Linked DNA regions of Caenorhabditis elegans. The protein of the gene in region 3 interacts with the protein of the main gene of each other region in a pairwise test. Each region holds a gene or a part of one and is shown on either strand. Other genes may lie near its edges.

What was found.
Region 1: the proteins of mmad-1 (region 3) and cdd-2 interact in a two-hybrid assay, tested with the Caenorhabditis elegans proteins (one large-scale study listed by BioGRID).
Region 2: the proteins of mmad-1 (region 3) and metr-1 interact in a two-hybrid assay, tested with the Caenorhabditis elegans proteins (one large-scale study listed by BioGRID).

Annotation. Positions count from the first base shown.
Region 1 is NC_003282.8:7,546,105-7,550,136, forward strand, and holds cdd-2 (Cytidine deaminase), read right to left. Parts: upstream 1,790-4,032; coding exon 1,645-1,789; intron 1,549-1,644; coding exon 1,367-1,548; intron 1,322-1,366; coding exon 1,148-1,321; 3' UTR 1,014-1,147; downstream 1-1,013. Other genes in the region: pam-1 (Puromycin-sensitive aminopeptidase), read right to left, coding at 1-84, 161-799, 909-1,013, 3,941-4,032; oef-1 (C2H2-type domain-containing protein), read left to right, coding at 2,454-2,546, 2,590-2,781, 2,834-2,942, 2,987-3,093, 3,137-3,366, 3,418-3,607.
Region 2 is NC_003280.10:10,924,734-10,932,283, reverse strand, and holds metr-1 (putative methionine synthase), read right to left. Parts: upstream 5,724-7,550; 5' UTR 5,721-5,723; coding exon 5,595-5,720; intron 5,455-5,594; coding exon 5,208-5,454; intron 5,156-5,207; coding exon 5,063-5,155; intron 4,922-5,062; coding exon 4,556-4,921; intron 4,507-4,555; coding exon 3,261-4,506; intron 3,216-3,260; coding exon 2,579-3,215; intron 2,527-2,578; coding exon 2,242-2,526; intron 2,199-2,241; coding exon 1,536-2,198; intron 1,488-1,535; coding exon 1,401-1,487; 3' UTR 1,206-1,400; downstream 1-1,205.
Region 3 is NC_003281.10:13,545,914-13,551,257, forward strand, and holds mmad-1 (Methylmalonic aciduria and homocystinuria type D homolog, mitochondrial), read right to left. Parts: upstream 3,093-5,344; 5' UTR 3,092-3,092; coding exon 3,026-3,091; intron 2,859-3,025; coding exon 2,810-2,858; intron 2,758-2,809; coding exon 2,684-2,757; intron 2,523-2,683; coding exon 2,303-2,522; intron 2,002-2,302; coding exon 1,571-2,001; intron 1,245-1,570; coding exon 1,233-1,244; 3' UTR 976-1,232; downstream 1-975. Other genes in the region: Y76A2B.4 (uncharacterized protein), read right to left, coding at 393-516, 734-844; scav-2 (SCAVenger receptor (CD36 family) related), read right to left, coding at 5,312-5,344.

The DNA.
Region 1 (4,032 bases), on a different chromosome or scaffold from region 3:
ATTGAGAAGTCCGGAATAGCAATCAGGTCACATTTTGGAAGAGGGTATTTGATGTCGAACCACTCATTGTACCAGTCAATGCACCTGAAAATTAGAAATTGAAACTTCATTTGAATTATTACTGAAAATTCAGCTAAAATTATTCTTTAAGATAACTCACTTCACAGAAAGATCCAAACTGTATTGACCTTGTTCTTTCTTTCCAGGTACAGTATACACACGCATCTCAACTCCGCTTTTCGTTTGTGCACTGATATATTCCAGCTCACCAACGGCGAAAGCGACGAGATACGATGACATCTTTGGTGAAGTTGCAAATGTAACTGCCTTTCTCTTTCCATCAGCAGTCGGTGTTTCGGAGATTACATTCATATTGGAGAGAGCGGTCAGATGATTTTCTACTTCCAAAGTAACGTCGAAAGTTGCCTTGTAAATTGGCTCATCGAAACATGGGAATGCATAGCGAGCATAAGTCGACTCAAACTGAGTTGAAGCCAAGAACTTTTCGGTGCCGTTCTTATCCTTGTACTGACTGCGATAAAATCCTCGCATCTTATCGTTCAGTTCACCGACAAACTTGAAGTCGAGCTGAACCTTCTGTGGCTGCATGGTAGTCGGAAGCTTGATAGTCAAAATATTGAGCTTATCGTCGTAGCTAGTTTCGAGAGATTTAGAAGCGTCTCCTGGCTGAGTGATAAGCGATACCGACTGAATCAGCAAACTCTGTGCATGCACCTTCAAGACATCAGTAGCTTCTTTGATTGTGACGTCAATCGTTGCATGACCATCGAAAGAGAATCTGAAAAACAAGAATTAGAACTTGAAGTGGTTTTGTTGCAAATTTAAACTACATATCAACATTTATTACTGCCGTCCTAGCTAAACTGAAATATTATTACAGAACTTACTGGTTGAGGCATGGCGATAAACGGACGTTGTAATGAGTTGGTTCGGCGAATGTTGGAAGCCTCTCAAATTTGACCGCCGCGCTTGGGTTTCCACAGGCCGCCATTCTGAAAAGTTTTATTAATAAAATGAATTTTTGACACAACTAAATTGAAAGAAAGAGAAGGATATCACAAATGAAAAAAAACACTACTAGGAATGGCGGGAAATGTGGAAAGGAGTTTCTGATTGGAATAAAAAATTAAGAGACGACTGTAACGTTATGCTCCGTGGCATCATCTTGCTTTAATCCTTTAGCTTCTGATGCTTTTTCTTGCTCAAAAGTGTCGAGCGATTCAGGAGTGAAAGCAAATGGAAGAAGAGCGCGAGTTGAGGTGATGAGAATTTTATTGTTAGATGCAGTTCCCACAACAACCTGCAACGATGACAGTGAAAAATTAAGAAGCTCTAGTTTTCTTACTTTATAGTCACCGAATTCAACTAGAAATTGACGGCAAAGTCCACAGGGAGACGCAGGTTCGCTGAGCTCAGTGACGACAGCAATGGCACGGAATTTCGTGTATCCTTGTGACACAGCAGAAACAATAGCACTACGCTCAGCGCAGATAGTGCCACCGTATGAAGCATTCTCGACATTGCAGCCTACAGAAAATGCTAGAAACTTCAAAAATGCATGTTGCGAAACTGAGAAGCCCGCAGACATCTCGAGTTATGCAACGACAAGAAATCACAAATTACCCTGGACAATTTCCCCAGATTCAGTGAGAAGCGCTGCACCAACTGGAAACTTGCTGTATGGGCAATGTGCCCGTTTCATCGCAGCTCGGGCCAAATGAACTAGTTCCACATCGGAAATATCTTGAGGAAGACTATTCGCGGCCATCTGTAGTTAACTATGACAAAAGTGCATGAAATGAGAAGCGAATGAGGCGAATTAAATTATTAGAAGAACAGAGAACAACATTGATGAGAAAAGTTAGCAATACACAAAAGAATTTGCGTTGTGGAACGCATGCAAAGTGACGTTAAATCCCATATTCAGTGAACGGGTCGCGTTATATTTAAAAAAAACATGACAAAATGGGAACTTTGCAACTATTTTTCAGCCTCAACTTCGAGAATTGGTGAAATGAAAAATCCACGGGACATTTTTGCGCGCGCGCGGCCCGAGAAGTGGTACCTGTACGCAATTTGTCTACCGTATACCTGGACGTTTGGGCGCGTGTATCTCAAAAACGGTTGGTCCAGTTTTTTTGTGATGCATATAAATAATGTCCGAAATTAAATTCTAAATTTTTTGGACCAAAGCTTTTTTCATTATCACGCGCCCAAACCTGGTCTACACTCAAATTATCAGTAGAGCGCATTTGCATAGATGTACCACTTGCCGGGCCGTGGCGCGCGCGCGCATTACAAAAGTCAAAAAAATGCGCGAGCGTGTTTGCGTATCTCATTGCGTACTCCAGCGTACCGTAGTTTGTCGACCACGAACGTTCGTTCGCGAACGAATTCGAACTCAATTCAAACTTGTCTCTCTTTTTATAACAATGCCGAAATCATTGCGAAAACGGTTTGTACTTGTGAGTATCGATGATAACATCGAACAAATTAATGCTGCACGAAAGCTTCGTCGCTATTTGGTGAGTTTTTTCTTTAATTATTCTTCCTAATTCATATTTTTAGACGAACAATCACTTGAATCACATTTTCTCGTCAACTCCGGAAGAAATGAAAGAATATTTGGATAAATTGGACAGTGGAACTTTTAATTTTCGAGAAACAGCCGAGGAACAGAAATCGGTTGATCCGTTTTCGGAAGCAAACCAACCCGCCATTCAGATGTCTTCAAACCAAGAAATATTAGAGAAATGGGCGGTAAGGATTGAATAACTCGAATATTGTTCGAAAATAATAAAAAGTATTTCAGCGCGGAACTTTCGCCGAAAACTCGGATGCGTTGAAACTTTTGCTCGAGCCAACTAACATCGAGGAAGATGCAGTTTTGGATGATCACGAATCAGAGAACATTGTAAACAGTAAGAGTTCGTTCATTTAATTTTTAATATTTCGCTGATAACAGATATTCCGCAATTGTTTATGGTAAACTCAATGGATGCTGAAACACCAAATGACTCGATAATCGTTGAAAACGGAAAGGAAGATCAACTTGATATGGCATATTGTTCGGTGAGACCCCGACAATTGCGTCAGATTCAACTACAATTTTCAGCTGTGCAAGCATGAAGTGGAAACCGGTAGAAACCGAAATACAAAAATTAGGAAACAGACTGAACATGTTCTAGACGCCCACCCAGAATCGGAATTTCTCAATGTAGACATAGCAAAACGCTATGAGTGTGTCCACTGTTTGAGAACTCTTCCTGTGTCGAAATCACCATGTGAACATATTTCTGAACACCACGATAAAACCCACGTGGAAATTGAATTTCGTGACTTATGGTAGGAAAATCACATTGAAGAAATGCTTTTAAAAATTCGATTCAAATTTAGGTCCAATGAGCAAGTGTCAACTTTCAATTCAGTTATGGAAAAATGCTTCTTGCGTCATCTTCCAGTTCCCAGAAGCCGTAGAATTCGAAACGGAAACACCTGGTATCTCTCCGAAAAGGCCTCGTACAGAATTGTTCGAGGAGGTGAAATTATCCATATCAGCACTGTGGCTGATAAAAGCAAAACAGATGTGAGTTGTTGAAAAAAGGTTTTTGTAAATATTTCAAAAACATAGAAATAAGCTTTTGGAGAAAAAATTAATAGAAACTGGAAGAAGTCGTGAAGCCTATCAGTAGAATGAAATGTTTCAGAATGACACAATGTAAGATCATTAGATTTTTCGTGGAAATTGCTTTAGATTGGTGTGAAAATGATAAACATAACAGACGTATAGACAAATAGGGTGAATGACGTTAGAACCCACCCTTCCATTTTCGATAACGAAAAAGGATAGTTAGAGGTTGGCACTTCGAGACACTATTGTCATCAAAAACACATACACACACCGGGACGCAGAACTGACCCGTGTTCGCCTCTTGCCGTGCGATGGAGCATGTTTGCTGTTGTGTGGTAGGGACGGCACTGGGCGCCGGCGACAAATGAAAGACGTCGGAT
Region 2 (7,550 bases), on a different chromosome or scaffold from region 3:
TTTTATGAATGCTTCCTCATCAAACATTTGGCGGAATGTCTGAAATTTTTAAATTAATGTCTAAAAAGTATATAGCAAAGCTCCTAAAAACAAAGAAAAAACTGAATAAAATGGGAATAGATAGTAAAAAACCACAAAAAAAGAGCATTACGAAAGAAAATCTTTATTCTTCATTCCTTCCCTTTTACGGGATAAATGTCTTCCTCTTCTTCTTCTGAAGTGATGCTCTTGTGACGTGGCATATAAATTAGCTCAGTTAGAAGAAAGTGGCTCTTATGGAAAGAAGTGAGGCTATAAATCAGTTTATTAGTTTTGTTTGTTGAAAGTGTTGGGTAGGAACGTCCCAATAGAATAGTATAGAAGTTTTGTGAAGATGTTTTCATAGGATTTATAAAATAAATTGATTTCCCAGATGATTTAAAATAGTGTTTCAAAAACGTAAAAATATTCGGATAGCTTACAATTTGCGACCTAACAGAATAAACTTTTGAATTTGTATATTTTTTCAAAATCGAACAGCTGTTCCAAAAAAAACTCTCTGATTCTAACTTTTCTAAATAAATGAACGTTATACTATCGCTTTTTTAAAAGGAAAAACCAAAAAAGATTCCCAATTTCCGAGTAGCTCAATGTCTTAATACTGAAACCAAAAAAAATTGTGGATTGAAGAAGATTGCTTGGAGCTGAAGCTGGATGCAGAAATAATGAACGAGTGAACATATACACATCAATTTGACGTGGCAGGTCAGAATTGAATAGAACACGTAAAAGAAGAGCAAAGAGTAATGGACTTTTTTGATACCTTACGGAAGTTTTCAGCAACTAAAATAATAGTACCGTAGTAGGGAAAAATGGCTCGTGCCAGGACCAAACGCATTGATTTTGAGTAAAACCATAAATTCGAACTAATTCAAAAATTGACAGAAAATTATTGAAATTTTTTTTTCATAAATAATTGGCAAGAATTTTTAAATTAAGAGTGATGATATTCCAAAGTCGAAAAAATAAATATCTTCGAGAAAAGAAGTTATCGAAAACCTCGCAACCTCACCAAAAACAAGCGGAAATTGGCAAAAAATGCATATTTTCCAACAAACCTCAACTGAAAAAGAATGAACGAAATTAAGATTTACGACTAGTATACACCATTCTTACAGAACACGCTATATTCTGCAAAAAAAACCCAATAAAGTGACGAAGAGCTTATTCAAAAAATCATATTTATTATTTAATCAAACAAAATTAATACTTTGATACTACTAATAGTAGGCTATAAATTCCGGGAAAGTGAAATGTTAGGGGGAAAACCCTTGAAGGGACCGATTGAGGGGAGGGAAGTGAAATACGTATTCTGGTAATATGTTTCATCATTAGAAGTACGAGTAGAGAAGATATGCAGTTTAATCCGTATCATAGCCAAGAATTGGTGATAGCCATCGCTCAACTTCTTCCTTTGGCACATTCTTTCTGGCGGCGTAATCGATTACCTGCAAATGTTAAAATAAATTAAAAATATGTTTTCCTAGAATACATACCTGATCTTGATCAATCTTTCCAACAGCGAAATATTCACTCTGTGGATTCGCGAAATAGAGTCCAGACACTGATGCAGCTGGAAGCATAGCAAGATGCTCCGTGAGCCCAATTCCATTCTTTTCCGCCTCAAGCAGCTTCCAAAGAGTTCGCTTTTCAGTGTGATCCGGTTGAGATGGATAGCCACACGCCGGGCGAATACCTTGATATTTGATCGACAAAAGATCAGATTCGGTGAGATCTTCGTTGGTTGAATATCCCCAAAGAGTCGTTCTCACTTCTTTGTGCAAGTATTCAGCGTATGCTTCGGCAAGACGATCGGCAAGAGCTTTCACCATAATTGAAGCATAATCATCATGATTCTTTTCAAGAGTTTTACAGTATTCTTCGGCTCCGAGACCAGCAGTACAAGCGAATAGACCAAGGTAATCATCAGGGACGCCATTTTTGAGTGGCTTGATGAAATCCGAGAGACAGAAATGTGGTTGATCGTGTTCACGTCCAGATTGTTGGCGAAGACCGTAGAATGTGTCGAGCTTGTTTCCAGTCTCTGGATCATAGACATGCATATCATCGCCTTCAGAAGCAGCTGGGAGGAATGAAACAACAGCGTTGGCGACGAGAATCTTCTCATCGATAAGCTTCTTGAGCCATGTTTGAGCATCCTGAATTTCCAAAATTTGAAAAAAATAATGAGCTAAAACTTACATCGAAAACCTTCTTGGCCTCAGCACCAACATCCGCGTCATCAAAGATCTTCGGATAACTGCGATTCGGGTATTTTCCTCTCAGTTGCCAAACATCGAAGAACGGCTTCCAATCAATGTAGGGAATCAATTCGTTGAGATCAAAGTTTTGATATTCACGGCGTCCGACAAAGGAAGGCTTGACGGCTGTAAACTTGTCCCAGTCGATCTTGAATTTCTTCTCGCGGGTTTTATTGAGATCAGTGAAGCGGCGATCTTTCAGTGAAGCGTAATGTTCTTGGCGCACCTGAAAATGTTTTAGGTAAGTCATGAGTAACTTCAAAAAGCTATAAACTTACATCTTCATAATCTTCATTCAAATCTTGCAAGAAAGCATCACGAACAGACATATCAGACAGCGAAGAGCACACTACAACAGACTTTGAAGCATCCAAACAATGTACAACTGGATGAGGATATCTTGGAGAGATCTTGACAGCAGTATGGGTTTTGGAAGTTGTAGCTCCGCCAATGAGCAATGGAATATTCAATCCAACTCTGTTCATCTCTTTGGCAACATATACCATTTCATCGAGAGAAGGTGTAATGAGTCCAGAGAGTCCGATAAAGTCAGCCTTCTCCTCAATTGCAGCCTTGATGATGTTTTCGCAGGGAGTCATGACGCCAAGATCGACAACTTTGAAATTATTGCATCCCAACACAACAGACACAATATTCTTTCCAATGTCATGAACATCTCCTTTGACTGTAGCAATAACTACAGTACCCTGATATGGACTTTCATCTTCAGCCAGCCCCATGGTCTCAATATTAGCTTGTCGTTCAATTTCCATAAATGGAAGAAGATGAGCAACTGCTTTCTTCATAACTCTGGCTGATTTGATAACTTGTGGGAGGAACATTTTTCCGGCTCCGAACAGCTCTCCAACGACTGCCATTCCATCCATCAATGGTCGTTCAATAACGTTCAAAGGTCTGAAAGAAAGTAATTAATTATGGATATCAGAAATCGGTACACACCTTGGATATTTCGCAGTATTCTGTCTAGCTTCTTCGGTATCAGCGACAACAAACTGATCAACTCCCTTCACGAGAGCAAACTTCAGACGTTCCTCTACAGTCAATGATCTCCATTCATCAGTCTTCGTGTCAGCCTTCTTTCCGTCCTTCTTCATTTCTTGAGCAGCGACAAGAAGCTTTTCGGTCGCTTCTGGATCCCGATTGAAAAGAAGATCTTCTAGAAGTTGCAGAAGTGGCTTATCAATATCCTCGTAAACTGGAAGAGCTCCAGCGTTCACGATTCCCATGTCCATTCCAGCTTTGATTGCGTAGAACAGAAACACGGAATGCATAGCTTCACGAATCGCTTCCATTCCACGGAATGAGAATGAAATATTGGATACACCTCCAGACACATGAGCTCCTGGCAGATTCTCTCTTATCATACGAGCTGCCTCAATAAAATACATTCCATAGTTCGAATGCTCTTCCATTCCAGTTGCAATAGTGAGAATGTTGGCGTCAAAAATGATATCATTTGGATTGAATCCAACCTCTTCCGTAAGAATTCTGTAGGATCTTTCGCAAATCTCGAACTTCGGATCCGTCTCCGCAGCTTGCCCTTGTTCATCGAACGCCATCACGACCACAGCAGCACCGTATCGCTTGATGATTCGAGCACGTTCCTTGAACTTTTCTTCTCCTTCCTTCAGCGAAATCGAGTTGACTACACATTTTCCTTGAGTAGACTCGAGGCCAGCAATAATAACATCGAAATCCGAAGAATCAATGCAAACTGGAATTTTGGCGACATCTGGCTCCGAGGATATGAGACGAAGGAACTTTGACATTGCATATGGACCATCAAGAAGACCATCATCCATATTCACATCTAGAATTTGAGCTCCACTGTCGACTTGCACACGAGCCACGTCAATCGCCGTATCGTAATTCTCATTTTTAATAAGGTTACAGAATCGACGAGATCCTGCGACGTTACAGCGCTCCCCGATGTTCACAAAATTGGTTTCGGGCCCGACGATAGATGGCTCAAGTCCAGAGAGCAGCATTTTTCCAGCATGAGGATCTTGTGGTGGGACACGTGGTGTGATTCCTTGCACAGCCTTGTACATGGCATTAATGTGATCTGGAGTAGTACCACAGCATCCACCAATGATATTCACAAGTCCGTCTCTAGCGAATTCTCGAAGAACATCAGCCATCTCTTCAGGAGTTTCGTCGTAGCCTCCGAGTGCATTGGGAAGACCTGGAAATGGAAGAAATTAGAATAAATTTTATTTTTTCTCTAAACTAACCAGCATTTGGATAACAGATGATGAAAGAATCAGACCACTTCGACATATTATCCACAAATTGTCTCATATCTTTGGCTCCAAGAGCACAATTCAATCCTACAGCCATTGGTTTTCCTTGCTTGGTGGACACAAGGAAAGCTTCACCAGTTTGACCAGAAAGCGTACGTCCAGACATATCAACAATAGTTCCAGAAAGAAAAACTGGCATTTCTGGAACTCCTTCATCCTCGAAAAGTGTGCGAATCGCGAAAAGAGCAGCTTTGGCGTTGGCTGAATCGAAAACAGTTTCCACGAGAAGCACGTCGACTCCTCCTTGAATAAGTGAGCGAGCTTGATCTCCGTATGCTTTCACGAGCTCTTGGAATGCTGAAATAAAAATTGGGATAATTTATTTGTTTAACTTTTCCACGTAATTAATTTATTTAAAAATTATAGTTTTGAAAATTTTCGGAATCGATTCGAAATTTCGATTATTGAAATCTTCAAGCCAATTTAAAATTTACTCACTAACGTTACGAAAATCCGGCTTCTCCACAGATGGCGAAATTGAGAGAGTTCTGTTCGTAGGTCCAATGGCTCCGCACACATATCGACGTCTACCTGGTTATAAGAAACAATTCAACTAGTAGCTCTTTTCACAGAATTCCCTTACCAGTAGCTGCTCCAACATCATCACAAGCTCTTCTGGCGACGAGTGCCGACTGATAATTGATTTCATGCACCAAATGTTCACATCGATAATCTGCTTGTGCAATTGTGGTTCCTGAGAATGTGTTAGTCTCGACAAAGTCTGCTCCGGCTTCCAAGTAGAGCTTGTGGATTTTGTAGATGATATCTGGGCGGGTGATGGATAGAAGATCATTGTTTCCTTTCAGTGGCTTGTCGTGGTCTTTGAGGATCTGGAATTTTTTTTTAATGCTGAATCATACATTTTATGGGGACATTTCTGTTATCTCAATCAGTTATTGATAACATCAATTTGTGAATGTTCATTTTTTGATCTTTTCACAGAAGCCAGTTTCTACAAATCATTTCTTACCTCTCCACGAAAATCTTCCTCTTCCATATACTCTCTCTGAATCATTGTTCCCATTGCACCGTCGATGATCATGATACGCTCTTTGGCGATCTCCGCCAACTCCTCGAAAAGACTACTTCGAGTCATTTTCTGGAAAAAAAACATAAATTGTGGGAAAATTTATGATTAAAAGTATTGGGAAATATTAAGCAAAGAAGAACAAGTTAAAAGAAGCAGAAAATTAGCATATTTTAAGCAAAACTTATATCTTTATAGAAAATTTTGATTAAAAAAATAATAAATTTGCATACTCCGAGAGGACTACACGGTGCCGTGGACTAGTAAGCGCCATGGCGCCAAATTTTAATATTTGAATTTATTTAATGCGTACTTTTCGTTCTATAAAGTAAAATCGGCTGGAAATATCAAGTTTTAATTATCCAAAAATGAAAGCAAGGGGAAAAGAGAAATAAGCTACTGAAAGAAACAACACAATTGAAGTCGACGTGGATTTTGTTTTTGTAAACAAAAATTAAACCAAGTAGATGTTATTTCCCTACAAAAAAGTTTCGAGATGACATTATAAATATATTCTAGTCATGTTTTTAATTCGATATGCAGCGTTGAGAACATGAAAAACACGACACAGTGAGTCGTGGCAAATCGGGAATAACACTCGTTTTCCCCTCTACACTCTCTTCAGTCCCGTGTACATCTCGTTTGATGACAGTGTCTAGATAAAGGACACATTTTATCATAAAGATGGGTCAACGGAACACGTGAATACGAAATAATGTGTCGACAGAAAAGGATATAGCTGATTTTAAATCGAGATTTCGATTTGGAACTTGCTACACTGAGGATTTTAGGATAAAATTTTGTTTCTTGAGGAATAGAGAAGCATCGGAGACAGATAAAAGGGCAGACTAATTCAACTGATAAGATTTCTGAGGTAGGCGGTTCGTTGGTAAATGGCGCCATTCAAGTACTCTTATCGTACTTTGGTTTCAACTAGATATATGCGGGTCAAGGATATCAAAGGGATTATTGATTTGAGACTAACTTGAAAAATTTTAGAGTTTAGGGTGTATTCTAGATGAAAAATATAAATACTCAATTTCAGATTCCCCAGATGCGAAATTGTTCGATTTTGCTTCAAAATTACTGTACACGGTCTCGAAGCGACTGATTTTTTCAAATTCAAGAAGGAATGCGCAAGGAATACGGTAGTTGTTGCAAATTTTTTTGATGTCGCGGATATTTCTCCCGTTCCTTCCAATTTTGATGCATCTTTTGAAATATATTTTGACATTTTTTTAAAATAAATGTTAAGCAAGGGGGTTAAAGCTTATGAAATATCGAAGAAACCCCCGAAACAGCGAGGAGTAGTAATTCTTAAAGGCGCACGCTCTTTTGCAGCCAAAAAAAATCGTTCGCTTCAAGACCGCAGGAACCATTTTTTCTTGGAGCAAAATAAAAAAATAAATTACAGGTGTTTAATCAGTTAAAATTTTTTTTAAAGCAGAGGAATGTCGAATGCCTTTTATACAGACTGATTTTAGAAGGGGTAAAACAAAAATATACGCGGGGAGGTCAACAAGGGTAGATCAAAATGTAATATTTATACGACCAACAAAAAAATAGACAGTCCGAAAGATCCAGAATAAGACACATAGTAACCAAGTTTTTCAAAAGACAACAAAGAAAGAATAATAATTCAAAACAACTGCCATGGGATTTCTATACTTTGAACCAAAATATTATTCCTGAACGTCTTTAAAAGGCAATACTAGGCGAGCAGAATCACGTGAACAATGGCAATACTTGAACTATTGAATCAAAAGTTCTGATTATGATCTCTGTGTAGGTATTGATAGTGTTTTTGATAAGAGAGGGAAGAGAAAAGGGACGAACGAGTTTTAACTGATTACGAATTTTTATTATTATTATATTATGACGTTTATTAGAAAAAGAGGG
Region 3 (5,344 bases):
TGAATATTTAAAATTTGAATCCCGTCGAAAAGTTTCCAAAGTTAAATTTTGAATTTCTAGTAAGCATTTTTTGACATTCAAAAATCGCCGATGTATTTATCTAAAAGGTGGAGTACCGAAATCTGGGAAATATTTTTTAAAGAACTCCAAATTTGCCCCTGATGCCGAATATCCATGTAAAAAAATTTAAAACAAATTTCCATTTTTTTCAGCTTGAAATTCGCGAATTTCATTTGCGTTCCTATTACTTTTTCAAATGCGCGCCCAAAGAAATTCTCATTGGAGCGCGCTTGTATCGTGTCGATTTACGAGAGCTCTCTATTTATTTGAATACATGACCGTTTGTTCAAGGTTTTTCTTCCATTTTCCAATCTGTAAATCAAAATTCTCACTTTGTGCAATAAAAGCGACTCCAAAATTGAGAATCGCGGTGGCGAGGAAGATGGCGATGGAGAATGAGATGGGCAGAACACAGAAGATTAACACAATTTGGGTGGTGAATGTAGGTAGGGTTTTCTGAAAAAGTGGTTTTTTTAGGAAGTGTTTTTAAAATTGCATTTTAAAAATGTATTTTTTCTTGAAAAGCACTTATTTTTCTACAAACTTTTTTACTATGTAGGGTATTCAAAGTTTTTTGTAAAATTAGAAGCGATCACGAAAAAAACCTGTGACCGAGTTTTTCTCAAAACACGGCCACGAAATTATTTTAAGCAAAAAAAAATTCTGCACAAACCATAATCCGTTTCCAGTAAAACCCCATCGTCTCGAAAATCCGTGTCTCTGGGGGTTCTGATCGCTGCGACGTGTAGACGTCCGCCTCGTCCTCCTCACTGATGATCGTCATCTGGTATGTTTTTTTTTGCTAGAAAATTCAAATTTCCAGCTTAAACCAATTTCTTTAAAAGTTCAAAAAAGAAGAAAACTTTAAAAAATACCGTCAGATCAGTAACTTGAAAAGGTGACAACAAGTGAATTGTGGATTCTAACAAACATTTATTTTTTTCTAAAAAACAACCATTAAATTATTTACAATTTCGAGACAGTGCTTGCTTGCAAATTTCATTCATTTGAAAACCGCAAATTTTTAGTCTAAATTAAAAATTTTACAGACAAAAAAAAATTAGAAAATACGTGGAGCGAGGGACAACGGGTGCAAAATGGAAGGAGAATCGACTCATATTTATGGCATATTGTGGGCGGGGCTTCTACTGGAAAATTGCTCGATGGAATCTCTATTCGTCAATCTAAAAAAATTAACTTTTTTATTTAAGGAAGTCGAAAATTTATTCAATAAAATATCTCTTTGGTTTTTGAAAGAGCGACCTTTTTTAAGACTTTGTTTTATTTTTTGTGAAGTCGAAAATCGTACAAAAATTACAAAATGTAAGGAAATTCTGAAATTTTGTAGAATCCCAGAAATAAAAACATAATTTTCGTCCTTTTTTTGGAAATCTGAAAAATGATTATCATTATTAGATAGCAGGAAGAACATCAAAATAAATTTTTTCAAACATAATTTTACGTTTTTTTTTTTCAAAAATTCGGTTTCAGAAATTCCAACATCCTGTACCTCCTGAGTAACCTTCTTCAAAATATCCCTGACGGCATCCCCATCAACAGGAGCATCAGTGAAAATAGTTCCCACAAATGCGTTGGATCCCCAGCATGCGTGTTGCAGAACTTTGCAGCATCCGAGGTCTTCAATCTTGAAGCCCATTTGTTTGTAGGCGTCATTGGTCTCGAAAAGTGTATGATTGGTGTAATCACCCATATACGGGCGGCCGGAAGATGGATCAATGAAATCAGCCCAATAGCCGAAACGATGGAGAGTTGAGCAAATCGCGTTGGCGGACATGATGAATGAGGCGGTGAGCTTTTCACGTTCCTCTTCCATTGCTTCACTCCATGCTTTCATGTCGAATTCTGACTTTTGAGTTAGATTGAACACGGTCACGTTGTTCATCTTTTGAGTCTCCATTTGTGGGAATAGGTATTTCATTTCTGGAAAAAAAAATGATTTTTGAATTTATGAGTTTTAAATTCAAAATAAATTTTAAATTCACTTTTTGAGCTTCACAAATATTGCGATTTGCCGAGTATGACGACCACGGTAAATTTTTTAAAAAGTCGATTTACCAAATTTACCGCACACCCCTGCTAAATATAGTTCTGCAAAGCATTTTTTTTTTCAATTTTTCACTAATATTAACTCGAACGTAATCTCAATTTCCGATTTTTTGAAAGACTAATTTTTTAAAAGTTCATTTTCAGAATTTCTATAAATCCCAGCTTTCCAGCTCACCTTTTTTGAGCAACTTTGGTGCTTCAATAGCGGAAAGTTCAATCTCAACGTCAGCCGCATTTGCCTGAATCTCTTCCATTGCTTCTTCCTTCAATTGAGCCAAATGTGTACGGTCAACTTCGATATTTGTATTGGAGAGCAAATTGATCAAATTGTGCTCCGTATCGTCCATCACACGCTCGATTTTTGAGTTTTCCACTTGTTGGCGGATGCTCAATGGCTGCAAATTTTGAGTTTTTGAAAAAATTTAAAATTAAATTGGAATTATTTTAAATGGGTAAATTTTCGAAAATTCAAATTTTTTACATGAAATTTGATTTTGGAGTAAAAAATCAGATAATTTTGGGTGTCTGTTTGGAAAATCAATTTTCAGAAATTTACCTTGTGAGCAAACGAGACGTCTCCCTGGAACGGGTACTGACTGTCATTTGGGCCGAGAAGCGAGTTTTGGCGAGCTGAAATGTGGAAAAATTGTGAAAATGTCGATCGAAATTTTGAATTTCTTACGAGTTGTGCCCTTTCCGACGAACACGATTGGAATTGGGTCGATTTGGAGCTGAAAATTTGAATTTTATGATTTTCAGCACATAAGCAGCTAAAACGCTTACTTTTTTTCAAAAGAAAAATTGAATTATTCGGTAAATCAAAAAGAAATTAATTTTTCTGAAACAAAAGATTTTTCGATAAAATCTGCAATTTTTCAGCCATTATCCAAACTCTCACCTGCGTTGAAAATGCGGCAACACGTTGGGTAAACGCACGCATTTGGGGACCTTTGGCGGACAACATCCTGCAACAAAACTTGTATTTTAATTTAAAATTTTACTTTTAATTCGAAAGAAATCAATAAGGCAAGAAAAAACGAAGAAAATATTGAAAGACATGTTTGTTGGAAATTGAGTGACAGCTAGAGGGAGAATTACGCAGACGGTTAGAGAACACTGAAATTGGGGAGACCGCCGAGAAAACGAGAAAAGGGAAACCGAAGAACGAGCGCGACGAATCATGTGAACTTTATTATTATTATTATTACTGAGAACACTAGTAATTACTGATCAAATTAGTTGTTATCTAAATTCCTAATTTTTTGTTTCTATTTTTCAACCTTGTGACATATTGATTATATCATCAAAAAGGCGTGTACTTTTAAGAAGTACAGTAATCTTAAAGTGTTTCTTTTTTTTCTTTGACCTAAATTGTTAATTTATTGTGTTTGAGTATTAAACACATAATTCTAAGATTGCGTACTGTGCAACATATTCAACGAGTAAAACATCTCGTTGCAAAAACTACAGTAATTCTTCAAATGACTACTGTAGCGATTGTGTCGATATACGGCCTCGATTTAAAAAACATTTATTTATCGATAGAACATTAAAACTAAGCAAAAAAAGAGATAATAATACGAAAAAACAAAGTAACTCCCACTATTCGCAAATAATTTTTTTTTTCACTATTTGAGCCCGTAAATCGACACTACAGTAGTAATTTAAAGAATTACTATAGTGTTCGAGAATTACTATCTCGTAAGATATTTTGCGCGTTAAATATGTTAGTTAATACGCATTCTCCGAATTTTTCACAAAATAAAAAAGGTTTAAATACATAAAAAACCGAGACAAGAACAACGATTCTTAGAATTCTTCCAAAAGTTCGAAAACTCGAGAAATTTAAAAATTCAAAAAGAAAATAAAATTTAAAAATAATCTTTGAAAAGATTTAAAGCCAAAAAGTTAAAAAAAATCCAAAAATCCAAATTTACTATCATTAAAAAGCCTGAAATAATCTGAAAGTCTTCGAAGTCTTGTTCAAAGCCAACTTTTTTGTTTTGATTTAAAATCTGTTGGGTGAACGTGAGAAGTGCAACAATTCAAGAAAAGAGAGCGAAAAGACAACAAGTGTAACGATGAAAGAAGGGTCACAGTTGTTGCACGTGAAAAAGAATTGTCTAGAGGCGAATAGAAAGTTTTCGGATTTTCAAAGTCCACTTCGGAGTTTTTTTCAGTGGACTTTCGTGATGTTGGAACCCAAGAATGCAATTTTAGGTTCTCGATATTTTTTGAAAATTTTCTAAAAAAGAATAAACACTTTTAGAATTGCAAAAAAGAAATATCGATTTTCGAGCTTTTTTTTCAAAATTTTGAGTTTTCGAACGGTTTTTCTTTAATAAAATTATTTATCGCATATTTTTGAAGTTTTTGAAACCTTCCAGTTAGTAATCGGAAATAAAATTTTCTCTAAATTGTCTCAAAAAGCCAAATTTGAATGGTAGCCAAGAAGTGGGAGGAGCTGGCACTCGGACTTTTTTTTTCAGAAATTAATTATTAAAAATCGAGTTATAAAATTTAGCAAAATATCTGAAACAAGGGGTTTTGGACCACATTTAAAAAAATAATTTTTAAAGTTATAAACAAGATCGCTTCATTTTATGGTGCAAGACAACTATGTATAGAAATTCTATAAAAATCTGGAAATTTTCAAATTTTCAGTAGGAAAATAAAATGGAGTATATATATATATATATTTACATGTCAAATGGTACAAGAATATCTCGGAATAATTTTAGGGGGATTTTGGGGACCCGTGTGCATAATAAATTGAACAAATCAAAGTGAGGAGCTGGTGGGGAAAAACGGGGATTCGGGGGAAATGGTGTGAGTGATGAAAATGGGAAGAAAAACAAGTAAAGCTATATTCACAAAATTAACAGAGACTGAAAATATTATTTTTAGAGGGAAAAGTTGAAAATTTGAGAAAAAAACCGATGAAGGTTTGAAAATTGGATTTTTTTCAAAATTCGAAAAGTTTTTTCCAAATAAACCAGTTCTTTAATCTATTTGTATAAATTTTTTTAAAGAAAAATTTTAAAATCGAATTTTTTAGGGAAATCAAAAAATATATATAACTCTCTACTTTTTTAATTTGTTAAAACTGCAAAAATTTTCAAAATCAACTCAAATTATCGATTTTTCTGCAATTTTCAAAAATTCAAGGATCTAATTAGCTATATCACATGTAGGCATGATTATGGTGGTATCCGTT